4 linked regions of the Elephas maximus indicus genome follow. Each later gene encodes a partner of the first gene's protein in a complex. Links are inferred from orthologs where the notes say so. Each region holds a gene or a part of one and is shown in the gene's direction. Other genes may lie near its edges.

Evidence for each region.
Region 2: CACNB3 (region 1) and CACNA1C share a complex: the UniProt entries of both Homo sapiens proteins name them as parts of the calcium channel complex. The link is inferred for Elephas maximus indicus from reciprocal best matches to the Homo sapiens genes CACNB3 and CACNA1C.
Region 3: CACNB3 (region 1) and CACNG1 share a complex: the UniProt entries of both Homo sapiens proteins name them as parts of the calcium channel complex. The link is inferred for Elephas maximus indicus from reciprocal best matches to the Homo sapiens genes CACNB3 and CACNG1.
Region 4: CACNB3 (region 1) and STAC3 share a complex: the UniProt entries of both Homo sapiens proteins name them as parts of the calcium channel complex. The link is inferred for Elephas maximus indicus from reciprocal best matches to the Homo sapiens genes CACNB3 and STAC3.

What each region holds. Positions count from the first base shown.
Region 1 is NC_064822.1:104,257,316-104,264,292, forward strand, and holds the start of CACNB3 (voltage-dependent L-type calcium channel subunit beta-3), read left to right. Parts: upstream 1-3,975; 5' UTR 3,976-6,977. UniProt on the Homo sapiens protein: Regulatory subunit of the voltage-gated calcium channel that gives rise to L-type calcium currents. Increases CACNA1B peak calcium current and shifts the voltage dependencies of channel activation and inactivation.
Region 2 is NC_064822.1:56,718,667-56,726,380, reverse strand, and holds the start of CACNA1C (voltage-dependent L-type calcium channel subunit alpha-1C), read left to right. Parts: upstream 1-4,698; 5' UTR 4,699-5,108; coding exon 5,109-5,247; intron 5,248-7,714. Other genes in the region: DCP1B (mRNA-decapping enzyme 1B), read right to left, coding at 1,693-1,759. UniProt on the Homo sapiens protein: Pore-forming, alpha-1C subunit of the voltage-gated calcium channel that gives rise to L-type calcium currents. Mediates influx of calcium ions into the cytoplasm, and thereby triggers calcium release from the sarcoplasm.
Region 3 is NC_064837.1:56,870,750-56,878,139, reverse strand, and holds the start of CACNG1 (voltage-dependent calcium channel gamma-1 subunit), read left to right. Parts: upstream 1-4,387; coding exon 4,388-4,622; intron 4,623-7,390. UniProt on the Homo sapiens protein: Regulatory subunit of the voltage-gated calcium channel that gives rise to L-type calcium currents in skeletal muscle. Regulates channel inactivation kinetics.
Region 4 is NC_064822.1:117,173,995-117,181,460, reverse strand, and holds the start of STAC3 (SH3 and cysteine-rich domain-containing protein 3), read left to right. Parts: upstream 1-4,454; 5' UTR 4,455-7,220; coding exon of another isoform or gene 7,221-7,286; 5' UTR 7,287-7,466. Other genes in the region: R3HDM2 (R3H domain-containing protein 2), read left to right, coding at 1-62, 455-602, 1,801-1,898, 2,271-2,355, 3,235-3,575. UniProt on the Homo sapiens protein: Required for normal excitation-contraction coupling in skeletal muscle and for normal muscle contraction in response to membrane depolarization. Required for normal Ca(2+) release from the sarcplasmic reticulum, which ultimately leads to muscle contraction.

The sequences.
Region 1 (6,977 bases):
CTCACCCTCCTAAAGGATGCCCACCTGCCCTCTGTCCCAGGTTTGCGGAAGCCCTGGGAGGTTTCAGCTGCCCCCACACTGGGGAACTCTTTCTCCAAAGGGCTCCCACCCCTCCAGGGCTGTAATCTGAGTCAAACATCTCAGGACTCCTTCCAGGGACTCCCCCACACCACCCCATCCCTTTTCAGGCCTATCTTCCCAGGGTAACCTCTGATGTTTACAAAGCTTGCAAGTATGCGGGAATGGAGGACCCACTTTAATGGACCCCTTGAACAGTGTTGTGATTCAGAGTCCTAAAGTGTTAGGAGTTTGGCAAAACAGGTTCTTTACCTCTATTGTGAGAGAAAGCTGCGAAGTAAGGCCAGCCCCCTTCCCCCAGCTATCCTGCAGATCCTGCCTCTAACACACCTTCCTCTAACCCTAGAGTTCCCCTCATGTTCCAGCCTCATTCCTCACTCCAACCCATTTTATGGAACTGGAATCACTCATCACATGCACTAGACCCAGAGGGGAAGCTCAGCTCTAAGACTAAGAATGAGCATATATCAAACACCTACTGTGCGCCACGCCAAGCCAGACTATGGGCAGCAAGAGAGTGAGAGCCAAGCATCTTGATCCTCTCACCTTCCCAGATACCAGGAAGAACCTCAAAATCCACACAGCGATCACACTACCTGGCCCAGAGTAGACAAGAGTTGAGTCTTGAAGCCATAGCTGACTCCCCAGTCCCTCCAAAGAGGCCTGATGTGAGAAGGAGGGTGCAATCTTGCTGGGCAGATCAGCAAGAAACTCTTCAGATATACTTATAGCAAATGCTGTGTCAGGGGATGGAGCCTGAAAGTGCCTAGAAGCATCGAATAACACCATGAGCTCAGAGGTGGAGCCCAGAAAAAGAAGGCAGAGGTTGCAGCAGGAGAGATTGAGGTTTCATGTCAGAGGAACTTCCTCAGAGTAATATCTGGAGTTGGCAATGGGATTCCCTGTGGAAGCTACTTCAGCAGAGCCTTCTCAGAAGAGAAGGGGTAGGCACCTCCTTTGGTCTGAGTAGAATATAAAGGGATGAGCATCATGAACTTTGCTCTCTGTGCTCATGGTGCACAGATTTTCCAATGTCAGGGCCACCAAGTACAATTGTACAGGCTGAAATCCAACCCTAGACGGGTCAGCCAAATCCCTGGTGCAGATCTGCATTTGCCGGGAGAGGGCCTCTTTTTAAAATGTGCAAAAGGGCTATATTCTGAGGTCTTGATAACCTGGGAGTATGGTAGGTCAGAGGAGAGAGTGAGCTGAGCCCCGGGAGAAGGAATGAAGGGGGCCTACAAAGCCCTGGGGACCTGTATGCTGGAGCCAAGAACCTGAATGGCCCAAGCCAGGGCATGGCTGCGTGGAGTGTATCCATGCCACAGGCTCCTCTTAGCAGGGTGCCTGCCCAGATACTGTGAGATCAGACCAGAAATGGGGGGCCTGAAGGCACTTGAGTGGGAAGAAAGAGGCTGTGGGTCCTGGACAAGGCCCAAAGGGAGAGAATCCTGCCCTGTCACCTCATACAGAGGGCCCGGGAGAAAGCAGTTCTGGGGCCTTTGGGGCTGGATTCCCGGCTCTAGCTCTGAGGTTCCTACCTTCTCTCCATTGCAGAAAGGAGCAGCATGTAGTCCAGCAGCTGGGGTGGAAATGAGAAAAAGCGAAGGGTGCAGAACCGCCCCATGCACTTCAGATTCGCTCTGATAGGCTCAGGGAGAAGTAATTGATATTTCTATTTTAAAGTAAGGGGTGTCGAGATGATGTTGTAGGCTGCAAGTTCAGGGAGAGAGAGTAGAAGAAGAGAAGGGGTGAGAAAGGGGGCACCCAGGGACAATTACTTGCCTTGGCCAGCAACCCCCTTCTCCTATGGAAACTTAAGCTGCCCTAAGGCCCAGAGGAGATAGTCCATTAGCTGTGGTCAGCAGGGGTGCGGGAAGGAGCAGCCTCTCTCCCTCCAGCTTATTGCCAAATGAAAGGCAAAGCTTCTGCTCCCTCAGTTAGGGTCAAAAAACAAAAACAAACCGTAAAAACCTCCACACACTTTTAAGGCACACACACAACCTCCTTATCTCCTTTGAATAGCTGAAGGTGAGTAACTTGGGGGGGGGGTAGGGCGGTGGTGGGGGATCCATGGAACAATTGGACTGGACCACAGAGGGAGGGGAGCAGGTGGCCTCCCAAAACACCTTCCAGGTTAGATTCAGCCTGAAGAGGAGCTGGAGGTGGAGAGAAAAGAATTGATTCTCCCCCAACTTACCTCCCTCTGGAGTGGTGGCGGGTGGAGGATCAGCCTAGTAGAAAGAAAGGGTCAGTGTGCTGAGATCCCCAGGGGATGGTGGTATTGAGGGAAAGGGTTCCAGAACCCCCAGAGGAAGTGGGTTAAAGGAGGAGTAGGCAACGACAGTGAGGGCTTCCTCGATCTGAAAGGGAAGAGTTCTAGTTGGTGGAAGTTGAGGCCCCGGTCATTCAGTCCCAGGGTGCATCCATCTGTCTCTGAAAGCGGTCTTTGGTATGAAGAAGAGGGGGTCAGCCTGGGGGCGCTGGGGGTGTGTGGAGGGACCAATGAGAGCCAGGTTCGCTCTGAAGGGTGCAGGGAAATAGCCAGCTGGTGCTACACCCTTCCTCCCCCCCTTCCCCCGCCAGAACTTGGGCTTGTCCTGTTTGACGTGCCCGCCTAAGGGGCGGGAGGGGGGTACTGACCCGAGAAGCAGTCCCGAGGCTCTGCACGCCCCGCTGCCCAGTCCTGGCTGGAACACTGCTCAGCTCAGCTGGGGAGGCCCGTGAGACGAGCATGGAGGTAGGAGCGGTCTGGGGGCCTGTGGGGAGTGTGTCTCAAACGAGCCTGCACGGGGGTGGGGATAAAAAGAGTGCCGCCTGGGGTCCCTACCGGGAATTTAGAGGTGGGACCTCAGTTTTTCGAAAAAGAAGAGAATGAAGAGTTCGTCCTAGGCTACGGCGGGGTCTGACTCCGGTCAGCACCTTCTCTGTTCCGGCCAGAAAAACGCCTCCTGCTGGCAGGGCCGAGCCCCTGCCGGGCAAGAGATGGGACCCTGGGCGGCTGCCGCCACCTGGAGGGCGTGTGCTGCCACCGGGCGAGCGAACCCAGGGGGCGCTACAATCGGTCGGAGAGGAGCTGCCTCGTTTCGCCCTTCCCCTTCACCGAGAGAGAAGGGGGGACAGAAGAGACTCCCCGGAGCAGGCAGGGCACATCCCGTCTGGGCTGTCTCCAGATGGACACCGCAGAGCCACAGGTCCGGGCCTGGCAGGGGTGGATGGACGTGGCTTCCCCGGTACCCGGAGGGGGCACCTTGGCACTTGAGCATTCTTCCTTTCGGTCCCTTCCTCCACTGAGGTCGCAGTCCAAGCCTCGGTGCGTTTCTTCGGGGGACAGAGGATGGGCGCCCGGCGTCTGGAGCGGGGGCAGAGGGAACAGAACCTTCCGCCTTAAGCTCAGGAGTTGGGGCAGCCTTTGAGCCCCTCTGCCTGCTGCGGTGGGCGCTCCGGAGTTCGTACCCTTTCTAGGAAGGGAGTTGAAGAAGTGGAGGGGGAAGGGAAAACGGGGAGGGAGGCCGAGAGAGGGGCTGGAAGGACAGTGGGAGGTGCCGAGATAAACAGCTCAGGGATCGGAGACGGGAGGAAGAAGAGGCGGAGGTGGAGAGAGGCTGGACTGACTGATCCGAAGAGAGAGCGAGAGAAACTGAAAGGAGGAGAGAAAGCAAGGGAGGGAGGAGGGAAGGGGAGGGAACGCAAAGAGAGGGAGGGGAGCGGCGGTGGAGCTCGGCGGGCGCTGGGCGAGGCCAGGCGTGCAGGCGGGAGCGATTGTGCGGAGCAGCGGCCGGGTCCTGCTCCCGCCTCGGAGCCCCGGGCCCGGGGGAGGGGCAAGGGCCGATAGCCTGGTCTATGTCTTTTTCTGACTCCAGTGCAACCTTCCTGCTGAACGAGGTAACGGGGTAACGGGTGGAGGGGGGCGGTCCCTCCCCAGCTGGTGGGAGAGAAAACCCACTCCAAGCTAGGAAGAGAGCTGGCATTTCAGGGAGATTGCAGCTATAGGGAAGTAGGGAGGAGGCCAGGGTGGAGGAAGCACCTTGTAAGTGAAGAGGGAGCAACAGAATCTGCCAGCTCCTAAACCCTGGAACTGGGATAGGTGGGGAGGACTTACTGGGGAGCTGCAGAAGGGGCTAGATTAGAGGATGGAGAGGGCAGGACAGTGCCAAGCTCTCCTGATGCCTCCCTGAGTTCCCTAGGGACAGCCTAGCAGCCGGAATGCTAGGGGCCTCCACCCAGACCTTGGAGACTTCTGGGAAGCAGTTCTTCCCAGAGGTTCTAGCTCCTGCCTCAGTTTCCCCATTCAATGCTCTGGGACTGGGATCTGCCCAGCTTCCTGATGCATGCAGAGAAAAAGGTAGAATGTATTTTGGAGGCTCTAAGAACTCCAACTCCCAAAACTGATTATTTGGACTTTGTCCCTGCTGTCCTCCAATGCCTGGGTACCCACCTGCTACCAAGCCAACAGCTCTCTTCTAGGCAGAGTCAGGCAGGAGGCATCTTCTCCCCAAGGTAGCTCTGGACCTTGATCTTTCTTGCCCTCAGCTCTCTTTCCTTATGCCCAACCATGGGAAAGAAAAGGGATTTGGAACCACATGGATACTGAAGGCACATGTCCTGCTACAGGACAAGAAGTCACTAGGTTGGCATGAAAACTGGAGCAGGCAGATGTGGGTGAGGTGAAAAATGGACGGGAGCATTGGATAGCAACTCAGAAATATGGGAAGGAGGGAGGAAGGCTCTGCAGCTCCTGAAGGACCCAGGGGATAGGCCCAGGTATGAGGAGCTTGAATCCATCTCCTGGGGGTAGCTGGCATGGCAACTCATGCCTCATGAGCAGACTTAGGCACCATAGTCCCAGACAGGGATGAAGACAAGGTAGGTGAGGAAGAAGTGCTGCTGATGGCAGAGCCACTGTTACCTAATAGTCCCCAGGACCACCTAGGGGTTGGGAGGTCCCCAAAAGAAGAGGCCAGGGGAGTAGATTCAGGGATGGGAAGAAAAGCAACTGTCTCAGCAGAATCAACTTCCACCTTGAGGGTCTTATTTTTTTCACATCTCATGCCTTCTCTCTGCCCTTCTGGAAGGACAGAAGGAATTAAAGAGGCAGAATGAAAGAGGAGTGTACAAGGAATGATGAGCAACTGGGAAAGGCACAAAAGAAAGAAGGCAGAGTGTCTCTGGATGCCAATCCAGAAGAATCCAGTATAACCAACCCCCAAATGGTGCTGGACTTTGGAGAAGGAATTGTGAAAGCAGAATGCCTCCCCCAATAGTGACTTGTCCCCTCAGCCATAGGGGTTCAGCTGGGCTGGACCATTCACAGGGGTAGACAGACTAAGGGCAGACTAAAGATAATCTTAAAACAAAGCCATTCCTCTCTCCAGTCCTTGTCAAGGGAACGAGAACAAGTGACAGGTGGGAAGGGGTTTGGTTTGAGTGGTCTTTGTCTCTCTCATGCACAGTGCCTTCTACCACAGATCTCATCAAACTGATTCCCCTTTAACCCTCAAGCTAGGACAAAGAGGGACTAGGAATTACTTAACAGCAGGTGCTCCATAAATGTTTGTGGAAGGAATAAATGAGTGAGCAGAGATGGGTCAGGAATATTTGGTGTCTGGTCTCATAGACTCCAAGTTTCAAGGCTAAAAAGGCCCCTAGGAAGTCTAGCCCAACTTCTTTTAAAGACAGGGAAACAGTCTCAGAGATGTTAAATGAGTTGACTGTGATCACACACCTTATTAGTGGCAGAGCCAAAACTAATATTCAGGTGTCTTGACTTTGAAACATGTTTTAGTCACTATACCACATCCCCCTTCCTGCTAATCTCTCCTCTGTCCTGGACTCTTCATTGCCCTTCAACGCGCCATAAACGGGACAAAGCATCACACAGTGGTTATTGAAGCAATAACCCCCTACAATTGGGCAGGGATTATTTTTTGCTTACTGAAGCTCTCCAACCCATTTTCTTATTCCATCCTCATAACTGGCCTCATGAAGCAGATTCCTGAGTGCACCCTCCTGGGTGTGAGAAACTGTGGGTGGAGAAGGACTGAGCTCAGGAACAAGAGTCCAGGCACTAGGAGGCTGGAGGCCTCTCTCCAAGGGTAACTCCCTGTCTACCTCACATCCCCATGGGAGGGGGAAAGGGAGGAGGCAGGTAAGCAATCAGAATTCAAAAGACTAATTTGCTCAAGAGATTGAAAAAAGGGAGCTCAAATGGGGGATCTTTGGTGAAGTTCCCTTAAGAATTGGGCTGCTGCTCTGCCTTTTATCTCAAATCTCCACACTTCTTTGAAGGAGACCGGTGTAGAGCAGTACCTGTGGTTCAAACCTAGATACCCACCATCCCCATCCTTTTGCTAAGAAGAGAACCTGGCCTCACACCAGTGACTCGGGAGACTTCTCCTTTCCCCCTCCCAACCCCTGTGTGGCCAGGGTGCCAACTTCTGTCCCACCTACAATGATCCCCCTATCTCCACCCTCTGGTTTCTTTCCTTCTCCCTTTAGGCTCGCCTAAGACGGCCTTCCCTGCCCCAGTTCCCACAGATGCCTTGGCAATGTGTCCTTGGCAGGGAAGTGAGAAAGGGAACCCCCATCCCGGCGACTAGGATGAAATCTGCCTGATATAGGCGTGGGGGCGGCCTAAGCCAGCTCTTCGAAACCAACCCCGTTCACACCGGTTGGGTAGCAGGGCCCTTTGCTGCTGCGTGTCAGGATTGACAGGGCAGAACACCTGTTGGGGCAGGAGTTATATTAGGCCGGTTTTGCCAAACCCATTTCTTCCCAGCACCGTTGCCGGGTTTGCCGAGCCCAGGCACACCGCCCTCTCACCTGGAGCCCCGCCCCGTCTGCCGCCCCTCCCCCACGCCTTCCTGCCTCCCTCGTGTCGTGGTATCCCCCTTCTTCCC
Region 2 (7,714 bases), about 48 Mb from region 1:
CCAAAACAAGATTTTTTTTTTCCCCTCATTCCAGAGTGCTTTGAAGTCAAAGCAAGGGTGAGCTCAGCAACTCAAATCCTGTTGGTCTCTGGCAGTTTAAAAACACAGTGAAGATTCCATACTAATTCTGAGAGGAGGAAGCATTAAAGCACTTAGAGCAATGAGTGTCCTGTATTGTCCTGAAAACCATGCAGAAGGGAGCTCAGACTGTGCCTATCTGCTGCTGGGTGATGCTGAGAAAAATACTTTTTGCCTTTGTGTGCTTTGACTTTCCATTCAAATTCATTTATTATTGCCATTACATTTATGGTAAAAAAAAAAAAAAAAAAGCTCTGAGAAGTTAACTGAGATTTTATTCTAACCGGCGAAGGGGTCTGATCCACGCAAATCAGCTTATTGCTGGTGAACAGTGTCCTGCCCCAGCTGTTAAGTAATTACTGCAGAATGGTGATAATTTTAACATGGCCTCTTGGCTGAGCTACAAGGTACTTTTTAATCTATATGAAATCCTGCTGTTATAATCCATCGCACAGTTTACGATAACATGAATGTTCAAGAAACTAGTTGTTATGGTGGTAAATATCAGTTTGAACGCACTTAATCACCAGCTGCAACTTGAGCTAGTTACTTACAATTAGCTGACACAAGCTAGATTTTCAGGAATCTATGCCCATTTATTAAAAAAAAAGTGCCCCCCATTTTTCATTGCCTTGGGGTCACTATTTAGTCATTTCATTGCCCTGGGACTTAAGACTGGAAGCTGGTTCTTTTGTAGCTGGAGGTGCTTTGTCACATCAGTGTGGGCAGCAGCTCTGTGCTCAGCTGAGTCCAGTCACAGGCTGAGAAAAAACACATGTAGGAAAATCACTTAATTCTCAGGCTCTTTCTTACCCATCCCCATAAATAGCAGAGCAATGGCTGCTTCCAGTGAGCAGCCCTGGGGGCTCAAGGACTGATCAAATAGCTGACCAGTCACAGAGGAAACACCAGGCTGGGTCCTCCTTTCAAAGCCATCAGGGAAGCAAAGAGAGTAGGAAAGTCAGAACAGGGATTCAAGTTTCCCAAAATGCAGAAGGGGACAAATCATAAGGTCTCATGAGATTAAGACAAAAAGAGGATAGTAATAAGAAAGACTGTATTAACTCAGAAATTTCCAAAGAAATTGAAAATAAAGACTATCCTATGTAACCACAGTGTTTGAGGCAAATGAGAAAATTGTGAGCTTCTAAAACACGGATATGCAGCTAAATGGCATGGATAAGCATTTAGAGCAGGAAGGAAATAAAAGATTTGAGACAATCCGAACCAGCCTTTTAGATATGGCTCTGAATGCTCTCTTTACTGATAAACGTATTGAAAACTTATTTTTAAAAACAAAAAATTGCTAATTTACAAATGTGGAAAATGTTAAGGAAAACTGCCATTTGGAAGAACACACATTACATATATTTCACACTGGCAGAAAAAGTGAATTGAGTCATTCTAGATGATAAATCTTCACTAAGGAAAGTGAAGCAAGTCCCTTATGTCTGTTTTTAACTTATTAAGTAATATTAAGTGTTTCCTGGACCACTGTGAAAAAGAATTTCAGTAAGAGATGTATTCTATTTAAATTATGGTATAGTTGCATACATTTAGAAATACAAACAAAAGCACCAGGTCCTGAAAAATACTTAACCTTTCAGCTCTTACTTTTTCATAAGCTCTGCAATTCTTTGGCATTCTTCCTTATCATAAAACCAAATTCCATAAATGGACACTGCAAAAGAACACATCAAGCAACTCATGAGCATCTTCAAAACTAAAAAGTAGAAACAAATTACCTTTTCCATTCTGAAGAGAAATGAAGGCTGTTGTTGTTAGATGCCGTCAAGCCAGTTCTGACTCATAGGGACCCTATGTACAAGAGAACCAAACACTGCCAGGTCCTGCCCCACCCTCATGATCACTGTTATGCTTGAGCCCATTGTTGCAGCCACTATGTCAATCCATCTTGTTGAGGGTCTTCCTCTTTTTCGCTGACCCTCTACTTTACCAACCATGCTGCCATTCTCCAGGGATTGATCCCTGATAACATGTCCAAAGTAAATGAGATGAAGTCTTGCCATCCTCGCTTCCAAAGAGCATTTTGGCTGTACTTCTTCCAAGACAGATTTGTTCGTTCTTCTGACAGTCCATGGTATATTCAGTATTCTTTGTCAATACACAATTTAAAGGTGTCAATTCTTCTTCGGTCTTCCTTATTCATTGCTCAGCTTTTGCATACATATGAGGCGACTGTAAACACCATCGTTTGGGTCAGGCGCACCTTACTCCTTAAAGTGACATCTTTGCTTCTTAATACTTTAAATGTATACTTATTGTATAAATGAAAACAATCACTGGAGTTAAAGCTTGGTAATCTAGCACTGAAATTTTTAAACCCACAAAGAAATCTGTAGCGGTCTTAACACATAGATACACACACACACACACACACACGGATACGTGCATCCAATAAAGTGTGTTTTCCTTAAAAATTTAGCACTTGAACACAACAGGCATTTGGCAAATGCTTCTTAAATGAATGAATACAGACTGAAAATGAAATCAGAATTTCTGAACTTCCTGGCTTTGGAATATCATTTCTATACTCCATGTACACATTTAAGAAATGTTTTATCTTTATTCATAAGGATTCAGGAATCTGATGCACAAATTATGCCTAGAAACCGCTCCTTCGCCCCAGGAATATGTTAACTGGAAATTGGCTTTGTAAGCTGTGAGTTAGAATAGAGTTCTGGCAAAAATAAAATTTAATAATAAGTTCTGACTTCAACATGTCAGAAAATTTACAACTGTTGAAGGATTAGATACGACTATGATTTAACCATTTAGTAATGAAAGAAAAACATGGTCTAATATAGCTGCTATTGATTCATTTCACAATTTTCAGTTAAGTTATATACTTTATTATGTGCCCATCTACATCAGTTTTATACCAAAGGCTGAAACAATTCCAAAATACATCGATATGTATCTAGTTGAGGATCTGGTGGTATTAATCACGTTAATAATGAATTAGCTATGTATACATTTTCAAACTGTCATTGAAAATAGTTGCAATATTATGATGATCCAATAAAAACTGGCCAAAAAAAAAACTTTTAAAGGGAAAAAAACATTAAACTTTCAAAGCATTTAATTATAGGAATATTATTTGGCCATTTAAAGAACTGTGATATTTTAACCACAGCTTTTTCCCCACTTACCTGATCAATGCCTAGGTATGGAATTTCTGCTTCTTGTCAGTAATGATTCAGATATCAAAAGATAGAGGAAATGTTTTTATCTAGTGCTATTTTAAGCAGACATCTTAAAAAAAGGAATTCCATGAATCTAAACTTATTAGTAAACGTGCCAAAAGGCGGAAATGGGTTTTTTACTTTGTTTTTGTATTATCAGTGTACCTGGAATCTTTATCTTACCTACCCACGTGAGAAGAGGGGAAAAAAGTGACCCCCCCCTCCAGCTCTTTCTTGAACAGGATCATTTTATCCTCTTAGACAGAAATACAGACACATATTTCTCCTTAGTACATTAACAATCTTTTGAAAAAAAGAACATCTGAGTTCTGAAGCTTAATGCTATGAGCCTTGATATCAAAAAGGAATTCTTTCATCTCAAGATCATTCAATGTGTCTCTCAAAACTTTACTTCAAGGTTGTCCCCAGTCCATCAACACTAATTCCCTACTCTGATTCCCACACAGTGTTCCTGCACCCTAACTTACCCAGCCTCGAGGTCTTGTAAGTAAATTTGGATTGGATCATTGACATTCAATCACTTAAAAATGTGAATACGTTTGTATATTTTGGTGGCTTTAATCTTATCACAAAACTAGAAGCCTGGTCTATTTTTTGGCTACCATGAACATCTTCTTTCACTGGAGTCTGAATTTTCCGAAACTGTCAAAGGAGAAGGGTGGTAGCACGGAAGAAAAACCTGGCATAACTTAGGAACCCGAGGCCCAGGAACACAAAGGCAGAGGAAAAGCCAGCCATTGGTGTCTCATCAGTAGAATATATTAATAGAAATATTTTGGGTGTAATTTTTATGGTATTACACATTTGTGGCATCTGACATAAGGAACTAAGTTTTCATAAGGGGAGGATGCCAAGGAAAGTGTTGATACAAATAGCAAAGCAGTCTGACATTGTCATAACCATGAGGAACTGAAATGCAGATTCAGGAAGGGAAATGCTATGGAAACATCTTTCAAATGTCAAAGCAGAATGAAGGAAGGACTGGGTTTCTAGAAACACATTGAGGAGACTTCTTTAGGACAGGACGATTTATCTCTAAAGCATCATGGCTTTAAGATTAAAAGGAGATCCTTTTGAAATAGCTCTTTTCGTCCCAGATAATATTTAGTTTGAACCTAAAATTTAAATACCCAAGGGGCGGGGGGAATAAAAAAAGAGCAAACGAACAGATTTACCAAGACTCCTGGATCTTGAAAGGTGGCACCGAGATAAAATGTAGGACTGGGCCTAATTTTTCTCTCCCTGAAATAGTTTGGCCACTTAAGCTGCATTCCACTGAAAAAGAGGCAGTGAATTACATTGAAGTGCACATTCCAACTGAAGTTTTCTGCCTCTTAGGCCCAAGGTCTCCCAACCCCTGGCCAAACCTATCACTCTTCCACACAAGAGGGCATATCAGAGCACCTCGTGGTGATATATAAAAACCAGAGATCACCATGCCTCAGCGAGGTGATGAGCTGACAGGCTGACAGAAACCATTAACTTCACATTTCAATCCATGTTTTCCCGTAAAGCCAGTGGGGGAGAGGCCTGCGCCTACGTAGGCAGTAAGCACAGCACGGGAAAAAGACAAGGTTGAAAGAACCAAGAAAGAAGGTGTAGTTTTTAGAAAGCTAAAACTGACAAAAATTGCTGTAACCTAAGTTTGCAGCTATGTAACATAGCTGTGTAAACCCCTGTAGCACTGAGATGTTACCTACAGGAATGATTTCTGGGTTTTAAAAAATTACGAGATAAGTGCACGAGCAGGATACTTATTTTAAAAACTCAACGTAGTTATTAGTACACAACTGGAAATTTACAATGTTTCGAGCCTTTATCCAGTCTGCTAAGCCTGCGTACCAGCCGCTTGCCAGTCACCTGTCGGCCGAGACAGAGATGAAGTTTAAGGGCACCTTGGTCCATGAAGCTCAACTCAACTGTTTCTACATCCCTCCTGGAGGTAAGAAATCTCAGAGAATAGGAAGAACATGTTGAAATTTACTACGAAATATTCTAATGACATGTAAAATGTAGGACTCCACCACTCTAAGGACTCATCTCTTTGGCACACCTCTTTTTGCATTTAATACCGGACTTTCAATAGCACAGTTGTGCAGTTTTGCCTAAAATGGCACTGTTGTGGTTTATGTCACGCTTTGGAAATTCTCAACTGAAACAAGCTGTGTTTGAGGGAATAGGCAATGCAATATTGCCTTTGCATATCAATTAAAACATCAATCTTCTTCCTTCCTTTTAATTATGAGAGAAAGATTGAGGACATCAAAACTTATACATTAGATTTCATGTCCGAGTTTTGTAGGTACAAACAGACAAGATAGGGAGCAAGGTGATCATATTCTATAATGGTATTTTCTTCTTTGTATATTTCTTTAGTGGCAAAATCCAAAGCTAATCAAATTTTAAGAGTTAAGAGACCATTACAGGTAAGATCAAATGTCACTTAAATGTACATTTTCATTCGGAATCTTTTAATTTTTATTAGCAGGGTGCACGAATTCATTTTAGAGGTTCTCTGAGAATATACTCCACCTAGTTTATGTTCGGAAACCCTGGTGGTGTAGTGGTTAAGAGTTCGGCTGCCCTATGGGGCAGTTCTACTCTGTCCTATAGTGTCGATATGAGTTGGAATCCACTCGACGGTTATGGGTTTGGTTTTGCTTAGTTTATGTTCATAGTAAATATTTCTATTCAATGTTTTTTTTTTTAAACAGTTCTTTTAGGACATTTATCATTTGTTCTATATTTTACCCAAAATACCTTTCAACTCCAAGTTCCTGAATGGCAAGTTGCAATCATTTAGCCAGGAATTTTTGTTGATATTTGTCTGACTTTAAAGAATAAGGCACATTTCCACACAGTTAGTAAATTGATGATACATAATTACATGAGTAAAGTTTAAATAGCCAGGATATCTGATTTGGTAATGCTCTCCTGCTTTCTTTTTTTAAAAAAAAAATAATTTCACTGTTCTCAAAAGGACAGGGAAATATGGTTTTCATAATCAGTATGTAGCAAGGAAGGCATGTAAGTTCTCTTTTTTCACTAGGAAAACCATGGAAACATGGCAGTGTAAATTATACAAATCTCTTCCGGGCATTTAAGGATAGACTAAAAATCTTAAAATGCCTTCAAATCCCATTCTTTTCATGAGGTTTTTCTTAAATGAGTGGAATAGTCATTTGAATTTAAGGACCAAGAACATTTAATCACAGACTTTGTGTAAACACTTGTTTTTGAGGCTGTTCAAATATAGTATTTCTTAATTTATTGTACCATGTATCTAGTTCAAGTTTACATAAGTTCAGCCATATTGATGATGACTTGTTACTAGCATTTGGTAGTAAGCATACACACACAGCTACTGATGTGGATATGCTACTACCAATCCGAAAGATCACAAAGTACTTAAAAAATTAGAAAGCTAGAACCATGAAGTGTTAGCGCTGGAAGCCAGCTAAAAAGTGTGCAGTTCGATAGCCCAGCTTCACTAATGAGGAATCTGTCCTCTAACAAGCATAAATGGCTTAGTCAAAGTCATTTTTCTGGGTTCAATCTATTTTCTCTAAAATATACTACTGGATCCCTGGTAGAGCAGTGGTTAAGAGATAGGGCCGCTAACCAAAAGGTCAGCAGTTCTGATCTACCAGCCACTCCTTGGAAACCTAATGGGGCAGTTCTGCTCTGTCCTATAACTTCCTATGAGTCGGAATCAACTCAACAGCAACAGCATTTTTTTTTCCCTTTCGAAGACTTTATAAATTAAACAATTAAGTATTCAAAAAAATTTTTTTAACTTGCCAGGTTTGATTATAAGAGGTTGGGAACTAGTCTTTTTTAAACTAAGGTTCATGTGGACTCTCAAAAGGAAAACGAAAGAAGGGAAGGAGAAAAAGGAGGAAAGAAAGAGGAAGGGAATAAAAAAACAAAACCCCATTGCCATCGATTCCAACTCATAGTGACAGTATAGGACAGAGTAGAAACTGCCCCATAGGGTTTCCAAGGAGCAGCTGGTGGATTTGAACTGCTGATCTTTTGGTCAGCAGCCTCAGCTCTTAACCACTATGCCACCACAGTTTGAATTCCTAGTATTGGCAGCTTTTTTACAGCAGTAATTGCCAGGGCAGCAATTAGGTTACTTATGTACTAGAATCCCTGGATGGGAAAAAAGGGCATGTTTGGCTCGTTCTATGTGGATTTTGTGCTTCTACCCCATTTAGAACGCTTTTCACAAAAAATGCTTCCTTTGGCCTTGAAAGTAATGTTCTTTCATTCACCTTCTGCCTTAGCTTTACTGACCAAACATGGACACAATCTTGTAAAACAAATCTTCACTGGCCACTGAGAGTCTACATAGCACTGTTATCTGTGGCCCCTGGATCTGGTTCTTTTCATATGACATAGTTTGC
Region 3 (7,390 bases), on another chromosome or scaffold:
CCAGAGGCTCCAGCCCCTCCCAGGAAGGTCTTGGTTTCCCAAACAGTCATGAGCTTCTCAAGGGCAGGGGGTGTGTCTCCCTTGCTGCATGTGGGCCTAAGCCACACCCCCGACTCAGGTGTCCAGAGCCTTCTGTGCACCGAAGGCATCTGGGGAGTCCTGGATAAACAGCGCTCAAGTGGTCAGAAAACACTTGGGTTGCGGGGAGATGTGGAACCTGAAAGAGGAAAGGAAGGAGTCCCTAGGTGGTGCAAATGGTAAAACACTTGACTACCAGCCGAAAGGTTGGCAGTTCAAACCCACCCAGAGGTGCCTTGGAAAAGAGGCCTGGAGATCTGATTCCAAAAGTTCACAACCTTGAAAACTGTATGGAGCAGCTGTACTCTGCACACTTCGGTCACCATGAGTCAGAATCGACTCGATGTCAACTAACAGCAATAACAACAATGAGACATAACAGGTAAAGGCAATGCATGATATTGGATTGGATCCTGGACCAGGAAGAGGAGAGGAGCTGAACCAGAGAAAACAGGATAAAGCAGGACCAGGGTACTAGTGAGCATCAACATTTGGGGAGCAGAGCTGGAAAGAGCCCCCCAAGTTCCCACAACGCCATGTGCCACAGCCGTTTGAGGTCAGCCCATGTCTTACTTTGCCGAGTATCATACTCTGCACTTTATTAAATACTCTTTGACTCTTGAGCTTCCCCACAGACACCTGCCCGCCTCCTTAAGAAGCTCTGGAAAGCTGGGGTGGGGGATAGGTGACATGCAGCTCTGGGACCCCCTTGGCAGAGGGCTACTGTTGGCTCTCGAGATGAAAATGAGGCAGGGAGCCTGTTGGCAGAGGAGGGTCCAAGTTGAGCGGTGGAGGCAGGAGATGAAGTGGCGGCATAGGGAGGTTTGGACGAGTGGAGTAGTGCCTTGCTTTTTTATAGCATTTTAAGATTAAACATCAAGGCTGTTCCTCAGTCTAATTAAGCCTGAGCTCAAAATTAGATCATCACATTACCAAACAGTGTTTCTCTGGCTCTCACCCAGGCATGCCCTGGCCCTGGTTTAGACCAAATCCTCCTCCAGGAGATGTTTCCCTTCCCCTAGTTAAGGTCTGGAAACCCTGGTGGTGTAGTGGTTAAGTGCTATGGCTGCTAAGCAAAAGGTCAGCAGTTCAAATCCTCCAGGAGCTCCTTGGAACTCTCTGGGGCAGTTCTACTCTGTCCTATAGGGTCACTATAAGTCGGAATCAACTTGAGGGCAACGCGTTTTTTTTGTTTGTTAGTTAAGGTCTGATGCTTCTTGGGAGAACAGCCGTCATTTAGGACAAATGAGCAAAATACAGATGACTCCCAATTAGCTGACCATGGCATATCCTCTTTGAAGATTATCTATAGACGATGTTAGATGTCAGGAGGATATTCCCTTTTTCTTTCCTTTTTTAGGATTTTGGTCCCTTTTTTTCTTTTTCAACCATCACTATTTATATCCAAAGCTTTTTCATTACCCAAGCAGAAACTCCGTGCCTGTTAAGCAATGAAATCAGTTGTCCTTGAGTCAGCTCTGACTCATGGCGACCCCATGTGTGTCACAGCAGAATGGTGCTCCATCTGGTTTTCAATAGTTGATTTTCTGGGAAGTAGATTGCCACGCCTTTCTTCCAAGGTGACTCTGGGTGGACTCCAACCTCCCACCTTTCAGTTAGCAGCTGAGCATGTTAACCATTTGCACTGCCCAGGGACTCCTATTAGCAATACTCCTCATTAATCTGCTTTCTGTCTCTGCATTTGCCTATCCTAGCTATTTCGTACAAGTGGGATCACACAATATTTTTGGATGCTTCCTTTTAAACTTGGCATCACAGAGGACAATTGTGTGCTCCTAAGATACCTCTCAGAACCTCGAAACAAATTAGCTTATTGGCCCAAGTGGTCCCAGGTCTGCCCCAGTTGGCATTTCTTATGTCCCTGTTGTCTGAAAGCCACATAGAAATGTCCTTTGGATCACTTGCTGGAGAAAATTATTTGTGCTTCTGTCCTTCCCTTTCAGTCTGTCCATCCATCTATCCGTCCATCCGTCCATCCATCTAACAATTGCTCAACAAGCATTTTTGAAAGTCTCACTCTGTGCTCAGATCCAGGCTGGGCTCTAGAAGGGACCCAGAATGAGTTCATAACAGTCTCACCATCCCTACTCTCCAGAAGCTCATAGCTCATTAGAGAAAACTGATCCATCTGTAGTCTATCAGTAATAATACTAATGATAAAAGCCATTCTGGATAGATGATCTACCACAGACTAAACTGGTAATGTGCCTTATCACTAAGCCTTATACCGGCCCCAGGCCTCAGGTCCCGGGGGAGAATATTGAGTCTCCCAGCCCCCCTACCCCATTCCACCAATGCCAGTGGCCAGTGGGCCCCTTTGCTGGCCCTGCTGGGGAAGCCAAGCAGGCAGCCCACAGCGGCCTCTGTGGGCAGCATAGACAGCTGTGCCGAGAGCCACACAGTATGAGGAGTTTTAGTTAACGGGGAAGAGAAGGAAGACTTGCCTGACATCCCTGGGGCTGCCAGCCCTTTGGTGAGATTCACACAAAGACGACTTCAAAAAGAAAGGTCACCAATCTTGAATGCTTTCGTGCCTGGGTGGAGGACTGAGGGCTTCTGCAGGCAGCACAGACTTGCTGCTCCCTGTGCTGACCTTGCGGAGTCCTGGCCTCTGTGACAGCTGCAATGCTGTGGCTCCACGGAGAGGGCGCTGTTCTAGGCCGGTTCCAAGACCTTCAGCACTCCCAGCAGCTGAGAGCTTCAGGCGCCCACCCACCACGCCAGGGAGGTCAGACTATATTTTCATTTCCTCAAATGACACCACAATTACTTGTATGTAAAACTACGATAGTTTCTTTCTAGGTATTCTGCCTTAAAACTCCAGAACTTTCTTCTTGATCCTTGGCTGCTGCTTGCTGTGGGTCTGCTGCCCAGTTCGTCTGCCTCAGGCCACCCAGCACCCCTGCCCAAGAACCACCTGGCCTGGCTGACTCTGCCTGGGGTTTCCTGAGGCTAGGACCACACAAGTGGTGTGAATGGGCTCAGAGGCTGTGTGCCATGTCCACGCTTCCTAGTGTTCCCCAAGGAGAGGGCCCACCTGCTGGAGACAGTCACCCCTGAGGTAAAGCAGAGACATCGACCCACAAGTCAATCACTGAGTCAGCCAATTGTGACGAATTAGCTCCCGCTGGGAACATTGAAGTCCCTGGGTGGTGTAAACAGGTAATGTGCTCGGCTGCTACCTGAAAGACTGGAGATTCACTCCACCCAGAGGCACCTCAGAAGAAAGGCCTGGTGATATTCCCAGGCCTTTCTTCTGATTGCCAGGCCTTTCTTCCAAAGTGCCTCTGGGTGGACACAAACTGCCAAGCTTTCAGTTAGCAGCCCAGCGCATCAACAATTTGCATCATCCAAAGACTCCAGCCTCCTATTGGTCACCTGTGAATCAACCTACTTCTGTTCTTTTTTCTTAAATACAATTATTTTGTAAAAGGGAACATAGCTGGAAAGTCATTCTTACCTGGCATTAATAGAAGATAAAACTAAAAACAGTGAGAACAGGCCTGAGTCACAGCCAGCTCTGCAGTCTGAGGCCTCCCAGGCCATGTGCCCTTTGCCTAGAAGGGTGGTTTGCAAGCGTCAAGGAGGAATTAAGCACTTCCTGACCCTAACATGAGCTTTGGAAAGAGAACTGAGAAGGAAATAACCTCACTCAGGAGCTGGTGATGCCAGGCCCGGGAACCACATAAATCATCCCGAGATCTGGGAAATGTGGTGGTCTCAGGAGTATGGCCCTTGCCTGGGCCCTGGGTGGGGGATTCCGGGGGTCCCCTAGACAGGGTCCTAAGTCCCCCAGACTCACAGGATGAGGACCTACTCACCATACCTTGGTCACCACCCCTTGCAATGAGAGACTCAGGAAGGCCCCCCAGAGTCCTCTGCCCTCATCCAGAGCAGGCAGATACCCATGCCCTGCCACACCCCTGCCGGACCCTGGCACCCTGAGCGCCGTCCCATAGAGGTCTCAAGTCAGCATCCAGAGCCTCCTCTCCCTGCCCCGCCCTCAGGTATTTCTGGCTCCCCGAGGGGAAGAACGCCCTGAAATCTGAGCAGACACCATCGTGGTGACACACTGGGAGATGGGCATTAATAGCAGCCTCCCTCAGGCCCCTGACACGTCTGGGCAGCTGCTCAACCCCATCCCTCAGTCCCAAGGCCGGCCCATTCTGGCTCGACTGGGCACACTAAACTTAGCTCCGACCCCCAACTCGATACCCGCTGCCACCCCTGCCCAGCTGCCACCTGCCCTGAGAGCTGTGGCTGCTGCGTCCTGCCCAAGGACCCCACCATGTCCCAGACCAAAACCCTGAAGGTCCGTGTGACCCTCTTCTTCATCCTGGTAGGTGTTGTGCTGGCCATGGTGGCTGTGGTGACCGACCACTGGGCCGTGCTCAGCCCCCATTTGGCTCACCAGAACAGTACCTGTGAGATGGCCCACTTCGGCCTCTGGCGGATTTGTACCAAACGCATCGTCCTGGGTGACAGCAAGGACAAGAGCTGCAGAACCATCACCCTGTCCGGGGGTAACGTACCCATTCCCTGTCCCTGCACCCACTTCCTACCCTTCCCTGTCCCCCCATCTCTGGAAATGAGGGCAGGTTTCTCTGGCTCAGAACAGCGCAGGGACAAGACTCTGAATTGCATGTGGTTGTGCTGACAGCCAGAGCCGGTTGTGAAATGAGGGCACTTGTCTCCAGCTATTTCTGTCTTGCTGAGGCTTGGGGCTTTTCACCCAGAGACAAGGGCTGGACAGGTAGGACAAGAGGCTCCAGAAAGAAACTGCAGATCTAACAGTCTAGGGGCTTCTGCTCCTAGCAGTGGTCGAGCCTCTGGGCTTGCCCGGCCCGCAGTTCTCCTGTGATGACGGGCAGGCCAGTGGCTCTGCGTTCCCAGGCTGAAGGGCCAGCAGCTTCATTCATAGGCCTCCTGGCAGGAGCATACATAGGACCAGCTACAGAAGTTCTGGAGTCCTTGGGTGGTGCAAAGGGTTATGCACTGGCTGCTAACTGAAAGGTTGGAGGTTCAAATCCACCCAGAGACACCTCGATCTTCTTCTGAAAAATCAGCCATTGAAAACTCTATGGAGCACACACACACACACACACACACACACAAGAAAATCCTATGGAGCACAGTTCTACTCCACCCATGGGGCCACCATGAGTCGGAATCAATTCCACAGCAACTGGTCTTGAAGTCTTTGGGTGGTTCAAATGGCTAACACGCTCAGCTGCTAATTGGAAGGTTGGAGGTTTCAGCCCACCCAGAGATGCCAATCTACTTCCAAAAACTTGGCCATTGAAAACCCTATGGAGCACAGTTATACTCTGACACAAATGGAGGAGCCATGGGTGGGAATCAACTGATGGCAATACAAAAATTTCCAGGCACAGTGCAAAATGAAAACACCAGGGCTCTTTGTTAAATTTTTTTTAAATTTCAAGACAGTAACAGCAGTGCATTAAACCAAGTGTAGAGGCCTTCCAAGCGTGGGGTCTAGGGCGGCTGGCCTGTGAAGCCAGTCATGCCTGTCGCTAAGTGTCTGCCTTCCCCTCAGACCACGGCCCTGCTGCACAGCTCCGCCAGCTCAAACCTCTTCCCGGATAGAATGCATTGGCTTCCACTGTCCTTTACACATATGCCTCGATTTCCCAACACCAGGCTGAACCAAGCACTGAAGGTGAGTTCCTTGTCCAGAACACCTGGCCTTGGGTGGACCAGTCTCGATTCTGCACATGTGGAACCAACTATATTCACAGCCAGTAGACCACACACCTAAGGAGCACTGTGTGGAGCGTGGGAGGCCTGGGCTCGGGTCACACGCTGCCCACGAGCCCCCTAGATGACCACAGGGGAGGACAAAGCCCCTCTCAGCCTCTGATTCATCCTCTGCAAGGTACAGACTTGGGTTCAGCTCCCAAAGGTCCTGTCCAGTCCCCACAAATGTCCCTCCAAGATGGCAGCGGTCCGTCGTATGTGTGGCACCCACCCCTGGTTGCAGAATTATTTCCTCTGTTGTCAGACAGCTGTCCCTTGAGACCTGCCCTTCAGGAGCATCCATGCTGCATGCCCTGAAATCCTGCAGCCTCGCCCCAGCCTCATGCTTCCCTCTCTGCTCCGGCCTCTCTTCCCCTCCTGCTTCCTCCAGGAATCCCTGTGCTCACCCACCCTCTCCCAGGATGCCTGGAAGACTCAAATACCCAGCTGTCTTGGAAAAACAGAGTCCCAGGGCTGAGGGCCTTGACAGGCGTGGGCATGTGTTAGAAGGATATCACATAGCCAGAAGCCCACGCCCCTTGGCCACTGCCAAGCACGCCAGACAGATGCGTCATCCAGCTGGCTCCCCTGGGACAGGCCAGGCAGGGCATGGTGGGTCAGCCTATCCAGCAACCACATGTGGGGACATCCCATCCCCAGTTCTGCTCCCTGACCTGAGAGGCGCCTGCCTTTTAAAGCCTGGTGAGTTCACAAAGCAGATGAACAGGAGGTGAGCATGGTTCACACAAGGGAGAGACCTAGGAAGAGGCAACAAGACCAGCCTTGCGGGACTGGCAGGCTCAGCTGGGCCTTGAGTCTGAGCAGAGTCCACCTCTTCGCCTTCTTGCCCCAGTGCAGCTGGGAGCCAGACACCCACACTGTGCTGCTGAGTGCCACCTTCCCCCCAACAAGCTTCCAAAGCATGTTTCTGCTGCTTCTCTCTCCTTTCTCTGCAAGCCCATGTCTTTTTCCTTCCCCACCTGCCCTTCCCACACTCCCTGGGACAACTCTTTTCTGGAGGGAGGAAGAGGATTCATACATGTTCTCTCATGTATTATTAACAACAGCAGCAGCGTCAATAATAACGAATGCAAATGTAGGCTGTTAGTACATGCTTTATGTATGGTAACTTGGGGGTGATAGCAGGAAAAATGGCAGTGGAAGGACCTCCCCGAATCCTTACTGCCGTAGAAGCAATGAGAACACTGGCACAAATGGTCAGGATCAACATTTTCAGAACTCTGGAAAGGGATCAAAGTCTTGCAGCAATCTAAAACCTGTTGCCTTCAAGTCAATTCCGACTCATAGCAACTCTATAGGATGGAGTAGAACTGCCCTATAGAGTTTCCATGGAGTGCCTAGTGGATTCGAACTGCTGACCTTTTGGTTAGCAGCCATAGCTCTTAACCACTATGCCACCAGGGTTTCCTGCAGCAGCAATCTAGGGATTATTTAATTCAAGAAAAATGGCTGAATCTCAATAAGAACAGCATGCTTTGTGGTGTTTTAACTTGTCCTATTCCTGTTTACCACC
Region 4 (7,466 bases), about 13 Mb from region 1:
ACAGTGTAGACCAGCGGGGGCAGAAGCCTGGAGACCTGTACAATCCTGAAAGTAGTCCCCAGGTGAGTCCTGCAGCCCCGCCCCATCTAGGCAAGGATTCTTCCCAGGGAGCAGTCTTTGCCATTGACTGAGCAGCCACTTTACATGTCTTTCCCTGGGCACTTTTGCAGGAGAAACACAAGAAATACAAGCATGCATCCTCTTTCAGGAAATCTAAGACCTAAGGTGCCAGATAGGACACACACCTGAAATTGCTCAGAGAATACTTAAAACAGTGTGTGAAAAATTAGGCATTAAAATAATACAAGTTGTTTGTCAAGGAACTAAGGGGGCAGTTTGAAGGAGCAGTCTCACTTCACCAGATAGATTTATTTCCTGAGGGATGTGAGTTTTAAGCTAAGCCATAGAGGCTAATACTTGGTGTTTATGTGACATGCACTCTTCTCTTCCACAGGCCACCACACAGATGAGCAGCAGCCCTGTCACATCTCCTACCCAGTCCCCAGCACCCTCTCCTGTCACCAGCCTCAGCAGCGTCTGCACAGGACTCAGTCCCCTGCCTGTCCTTACACAGTTCCCCCGGCCCGGGGGTGCAGCACAGGGTAAGGGGTTAGATTAGGGCTAACTGCTGTAGAATTCACCCTTCACATCCCACTCCTAAGTGGGGAGAACTGGAGGGTAGTAAGAGGCAGGGAATCAGTGTGGCTGGTCCAATTCTGGGAGCTAACTTTTCCTTTCCATTCAGGAAACTTCAGGAAATTAACATTCCTATTCAGACTAAGGACACCCACCGTAAGGACACCCACCGTTCTCTAGTGCTGCTCCTAGTTAACTTACTCCAGGGTATTCACCGTCAAGTAGAGTTGGTGACTATGAGCCAGGGAAAAGAAGTTCACGGAACCTTCTTATGAATGAAAAGAGTTTAACCCATCAGTGCTGAGTCTGAGGGCTGGGAAAGTGGAACCAGTATGGTTTTAGAAGAGGGAACACTAGATTTGGGTTAAAAGAGATTGAGTTCAGGTTCTAGTTCTGCCATTCACTAATTTTGCAATATTGAGCAAAGTACTTGGAACCAAATCTCAGTTTCCTAATCCATAACATGGGGTTAATTACATATAAATCTTACATGTAATTTTTGGGAATAATCTTACCTGCCTTCTGTCTTGGCTATCACAAGCAATCTAAAAACAAGATGAGAATATGGCTTGAAAACTTAAAAGTGCTTTGAAATGTAATTTTATCAATAATAATAGCTAATGCTTATGGTGCTTAATATGTGCCAGACATTGCTGTAAGTGCTTATATGTATTTGTTTGACCTTCCCAACAACACTAATGAGGGAAAACTGTCCAACATCACATTACCAGTAACAGAGCCAGGATATGAACCTAAGCAGCCTGGCTCCAAGTCTCTGCTGTTTTTCACTATATTTTATTACCCCTCATGTGAGTCAGAAATTTGAGCCCTGGGTTTAGAGGTGGGGAGAATCTAGTTAAGAGATAAAACGTATGTGTAAGGGTCTGTAGGTTTCCTGCCTGATCATTTCAACAGGGCCTTTTGTCTACCATAGGCAGAGGCTTTCTTCAAGGGTAAGGGAACCCAATAGTCCCATTTGTCTGTGAGATCCAAGGGGTTTAGGAAGAGAAACAACTCTTAAATTAGTCACATATACACTACCATCATAGAAGAGGTAGGAATAGTATGCATTGTTGCTGTCCATCTCCCAAACCCCCTGAAGTCTCATAAAATTTATACCGTGAAGCTCAAACTCCTAGAAAATCACTTGCTCTTACTCCCCAGGTGATGGGCGCTACTCCCTCCTGGGCCAGCCATTACAGTACAATCTGTCCATCTGCCCTCCCTTGCTCCATGGCCAGTCGACTTACACAGTGCACCAGGTAAGAGTGTCCACCATCCCCTCCCACTCAGCCTTAGGGCCGTCAGACCCACCTTCTCATTTGGACACTATGTCTGAGCCACCTGCCTCAACCAGCTTGGTAGACAAGTGACCCAACAGAGAGAATGGACAAAATGGGAGGGGCTAAAGGGCCTTACCCTACTCCCGTACTCATTCTTGTCACTCATTCCAGTGCCAAGAGGGAAGGGCTCTTTGCTTCCCAGTGGGCCTAACCTGGCCAGTCTGACTGCCTGGTGGGGTGGGGCCATCAGGGCTGGGTGCTGATGACTGCTCAATCTCTCAGGCAGACATGGGGATAGAAGGCAGTCGATGTTGTTTACCTGAAGTGAAAATTATCTTTTGAATGTTGAAGGGACAGAGTGGATTGAAGCATGGAAACCGGGGCAAGAGACAAGCACTCAAATCTGCCTCTACTGACCTGGGGACAGCAGATGTTGGTGAGTGATAGGATGCTGAATCCCCTGAGAAGATGCCCATGCCCATCCCCACCCCACCCCACCCCACCCTCAACCCTGCATCAGCAGCCCTGGGCGGGTAGGAAACCCAGCTTAGGATGGGGAGTGGAAATGGGAACCTTTTGTGTTCAAGAACAAGGAGAAGTAAGGTGTCTCAGTTCCCCTTACCAAGTAATCCCAGGTCCTGGGGAACATAGTGGTAAAAATTGAGAAGAACACACCGATGGGGCCACTGAGACTGTAACTAGCCAGGAGTCTTCTGAGAGCAGTCCTGATCCTAATCTAGGACCTCTACTTTTGGTAGCCCTATACCCAATTAAGGAGAAGATTGATAGAGGGTATGGGAGAGTAATTCTCCTCCTACAGGTCTTCCATACTAGGCATATAAGATCTCTCTTTTGGAAGCAGTTTGCTAAACAAGAGAAGGAAGGGAAACTGACTTTCGTAAATGATAAGAAGGAAGAATCTATTTGGGCCAGCCAGAGTAGAAAGGGAACTATGGAACATGTATCAGATTGCCTCATTGACTTTGTTAAAGAACACAAGTAAAAACCACATTTAACTTTCACAGTATCAGTACCCTGTGAGAGAGCTGAAGAAGACCCCAGATCATAAGTCTGGAATTCTGATTCCCAGCCTACATCTCTGGGCTAGGAGAAAAAGTTCATCGTTTTCTCCTGGTGGCACTGATCAGAGTCTAAATGGTGGGGAATTGTGTCGATTTGGGGAAAGGGGAGGAAAGAACTAAGTGGGAAAGGCTGGACTTTTGAGGACATGGTATTCGGATTCGGTTAGCTGAATACTCTCTGCCAGGTGACTAACTTGTGTCTCACAGCTATGTCCTCTCTCCTCCCCTTCCAGTCCTAGGGCGGGTGCTGGAGGTGACAGATCTCCCTGAGGGCATCACCCGTACTGAGGCGGACAAACTCTTCACTCAGCTGGCCATGTCTGGCGCCAAGATCCAGTGGCTCAAGGATGCTCAGGGGCTGCCCAGCGGGGGCGGGGGGGATAACGGTGGGACTGCTGAGAATGGCCGCCACGCGGACCTCGCTGCCTTGTACACCATCGTGGCTGTGTTCCCGAGCCCGCTGGCTGCCCAAAATGCCTCCCTTCGTCTCAACAACTCCGTGAGTCGCTTCAAACTTCGAGTGGCCAAAAAGAACTATGACCTGAGGATCCTGGAGCGAGCCAGCTCCCAATGAGCGGAGAAGGGGAAGGGACCAGCACAGTAGGGGTGGGGTCAGGGTGGAGGGGGTCGAGGGATTCTGACAGACCATGGACAGAGGCACAAAGTAGGGAAACATGCTAAACTGGAGCCTAAGACTATAGGGACAAAGATGGAAAAAGATACACTGGCACTGGACTCCCCTGCCATGGTCCTTTTTCCTTGGTTGGCTCCTCTCTGCTTCCCTCTCCTTCCCATCCTCTTCTATCATTTTTTTTATCTCTTCTCCCACCATGAAATTAATTTCTTTCATGTTTTTTGGCCAGGTAGAATTAGGAGGATCCCACACTCCCCTGTTCTCCTATTTCCTTAACATCCCAAGCTCCATTTTCTTTTTTGGTCTTTATGAGTATATTTATATGGACAGAATTAAGAAAAACGAAATTGATTTCCCCTTCCTTTCATTCCCCCTATCTTGTCTCCACAAACCCCACAGAGTTAAAACTTGGACCTCCTCCCACTCCCGGAACACTTGTATATTGTTTGTTTGAGGTTCGTGCCGCAGTAACAGACACAGTATTTAATTGCACATACAGATGTTTGCTGGGTATATTCACTGTAAATTTTATTTAATCTGGTTTTTTTGTTTGGGGGTTACTTGAGGGGAGGTTGGTTTGGTTTTTAAATATAAAAAAAATCTTCTGTTACTGGACGTCAGTCCCCGTTTTTCTCTTGCCGTCCTGGTGTGGGTAGGGGTTGGAGGTCCTGGGTAAGTAGAGCCCCACAGCTGTTTGATGTGGGTTCGGGTGGCTGTCCCTAAACATATGCACATATGTCTTCCTAAGACTGTTCCTCCCCCTCCCACCCCCGCCCTTCTCCCTGCCCATGGCTGGGTTTCTAATGGAGCCTTGATTCTGGGCTCTCCCAACTCAACTCCAGACCACTGTGTGTCCTTATTAGTAAAATAAGAGACTTGGACTGACAAGGTGACCTCTGAGTTTCCTTCCGGCCTGTTAATTCTGTAATATCATTTAAGGCCCTCATGGCTGAGCTGGGGCAGGGCAGCAGGGTGTTCGGCCCAGTACTGGCTTCAGATGTTGGCCTCATATCCTGTCCTATCTAATCTTCTGAAAACCCCTTTAGGGATGGAGTACTTGAGTTTTTCTTTAATCCTACGTCTAGAGGATTGGGTCCTACAGAAATGGATGCTTCTTGTAATAAAAGCTGTATCAGCTGAACTTGCAGTGCCAGGATGCTCTGTTATCCAGTTGTGCTCAGCCATCTCTATGCATCTGAAGAAAGAAGAAGAGCAGATGTAATTCCTTCTGCAAGATGGAGCCTTTCCTGTATCTGGGGCTTCTCAGAGTTGGCGCTGTTGTTCCACGGCCAGTCAGGCCAGGGCGATTACAGAGCTTGTAGCCGCAGAACCAGTAGCAGCCACCCACCCCTGAGAGAGAGAAAAAAGAGCAGTGGGTGGAAATGGCAGAGTACATTGCCCTGGAAATCTCTTGGGTAGCAGTATCTCTAGGCAGGCTCCTCTGAAGCTTGTCTGACCCTACCTCCAACCTAATCCTCTATTTCTTACAGATACAAGGGATAATGCAGCACTACATTGCCACCTGTAAATTTTTCTCCTCTGAGGTGGGAGTGTCTCTTCTTCCAGCCATGTCACAGCCCAAAGAATAGGAGAAGGCCACATCCTTGTGAGATACAAATGCTAGCTAACTCATTGGCCCATCAGTTCAGATACTGGGGTATCAGAGGAGGCAAATGGAACCAAGGAGTCAAATTGATTTAGTAGGAAGTGTGAGACATGCCCATTCTACCCCCAGGAGTTTCTCAGGGGAAAGGGGGTGTTATTTACAGATGATCAAAACTTCCTGTGTGCAGCTAGAGCCTTCTGTCCACTGTTAACTAGACCATCCCTACCTGGTTGTCAGTCCTGCACTCCCTTGGTGCCCCTCAGATGGAAGTCTTAGCCTGTCTTTTTTAGAGCCCTTAAGGTTCCCTTTGGAACCCTGGTGGCACAGTGGTTAAGAGCTCAGCTGCTAACCAAAAGGCCAAGAGTTCGAATTCACCAGCTGCTCCTTGGAAACCCCGTGAGGCAGTTCTGCTCTGTCTTATAGGGTCGCTGTGAGTCAGAATTAACTCGATGATGATGGGTTTGGTTTGGGTATTTTGGTAAGGTTCCCTGTATCCTGAGGACACAGTTTTAATTACAAAAAAAAAAAAAGTCTCTGGGTGCAGCTGGAGGGAACAAAGCAGTACTACAGATTCTTCACTCCCTTACAGGATAGAGCAGGGTACCCACCAACTACCTATGAATAAGAAAGCAGTCTAGTCTAGCTGATAGGAGAGCTCTGAGGAGTCAAATGATCTTCTCTTTCCCAGTTCTCAGCCCTTTCCTTCCTAAAGGTTTAGAGTTAGGCTGAGAAATTGAAGTCTGTATTTCCTAAAGTAGGCCCTTGAGAAGAATAGAATTGGGGAGGTGTTTGGACCTTGGGAAATGGATTGGAGAATCCTGTCAGTAATTCATCTCGACTTCACCTTCAGTCACCTAAAATCCCCTCAAGTGGGTGTGTAGCATGAACAGAAACAGCCCCTCAATCCCTGAATTTAGCCAGTACTGGCCTGCTCACCATAGACAGTCAGGGAACAGTAGCTCTGGGGGATGGGAGGGGTTAGGGTCCAGCCCTGCCCCAGACCTCCTCGTGTCTAATTTCTCTGTGTCAGCTGTGTTATTCAGCTGTCCACTTTCCTCCAGCCTTGTCATTTCAGCTCTGACACCAAGGAGAGAGGCTAGGAGGTCTACAAATACCGTCTGGGTAGCCGGTGTGAGTACGGGGAGGGTACTGGGGGGGCTCAGCCCCCAGGGAAGAAGACCGATCCTCCCCCAGCACTACTACCAAGGCCCCAGGGGATCCTTCTTCCATCCCCAAACTGTGGACTGGCTTAGGGAATCCCCAAATGTAAGTTACCTCTTCATCTTCTTTCCATTTCGAGGACTACTCACCCCAGCTTCACCAATCCTTAGTCTGTTCAGCTTCATTTCTCCCCTTGTCTATGAGTAGTTTATGAGGAATTATTATTATTACACTCCAGAACTAGAGCTAGGATTGGAGGGCGGGTGGGGTGAGGTCAACGGAATGGAGTAGTAAGGGAAGGAAAGGCTCATATTACTCTGAAAACTTAAAATAGCTGAGGCCTGAGGCAGGCTGGGATAGAACTAGGCAAGAGGCCCCCAGGGCTCAAAAAGGAGATAGGGATAGTGTCCCCAGCCCATTACTCTATGCATGCACTTGGACACACACCTTAAACCTCTTGAAGAGAGAGAATCTGGGAAATCAAGTCACATCTCTCTTGCCCACAGCCTCACAGAAGAAACAAAGTGCCCGTAGAAAAATCCCCAAACCACGCAGCCTTGAACACTGTTAGGGCTGTAAACTTGGGTTGCCTCTCAAGGTAGAAGGATGGGTATTGGTTTCAGTTGAGAAGCTCTTTGGTTTCCCTGGCTTTTCTCTGGACCTCCGTGGCAGTTTTTGTTCATAAACCCTGTGAATTTAACCAAATTTCTCCCAAGGCCTCGCCTTCAAGGACCATCCTACTGCAAGGGACAGGAATAAGGGAGAGAAGAATGGCAGTTAGGGATTAGATTTCATAGTGGGGTCCAACCTCTTGCAGGATGACAGAAAAGGAGGTGCTGGAGTCCCCTAAGCCCTCCTTCCCAGCAGAGACTCGGCAAAGAGGGGTGAGTCTGGGCCTCTGACTATTGGGTGTGGGAAACTGGGAAGCCATGACAGCCCTTGAAGAAAAGTGTCTAAATTGATGTCACTTGTATGTGACTTATTGTTAGAATGCCAGCCAGTACCTGCAACCCTCATACCCCCTAATCCTGGGGCATGGGGACTAGAAAATAGCCAATCAGCTT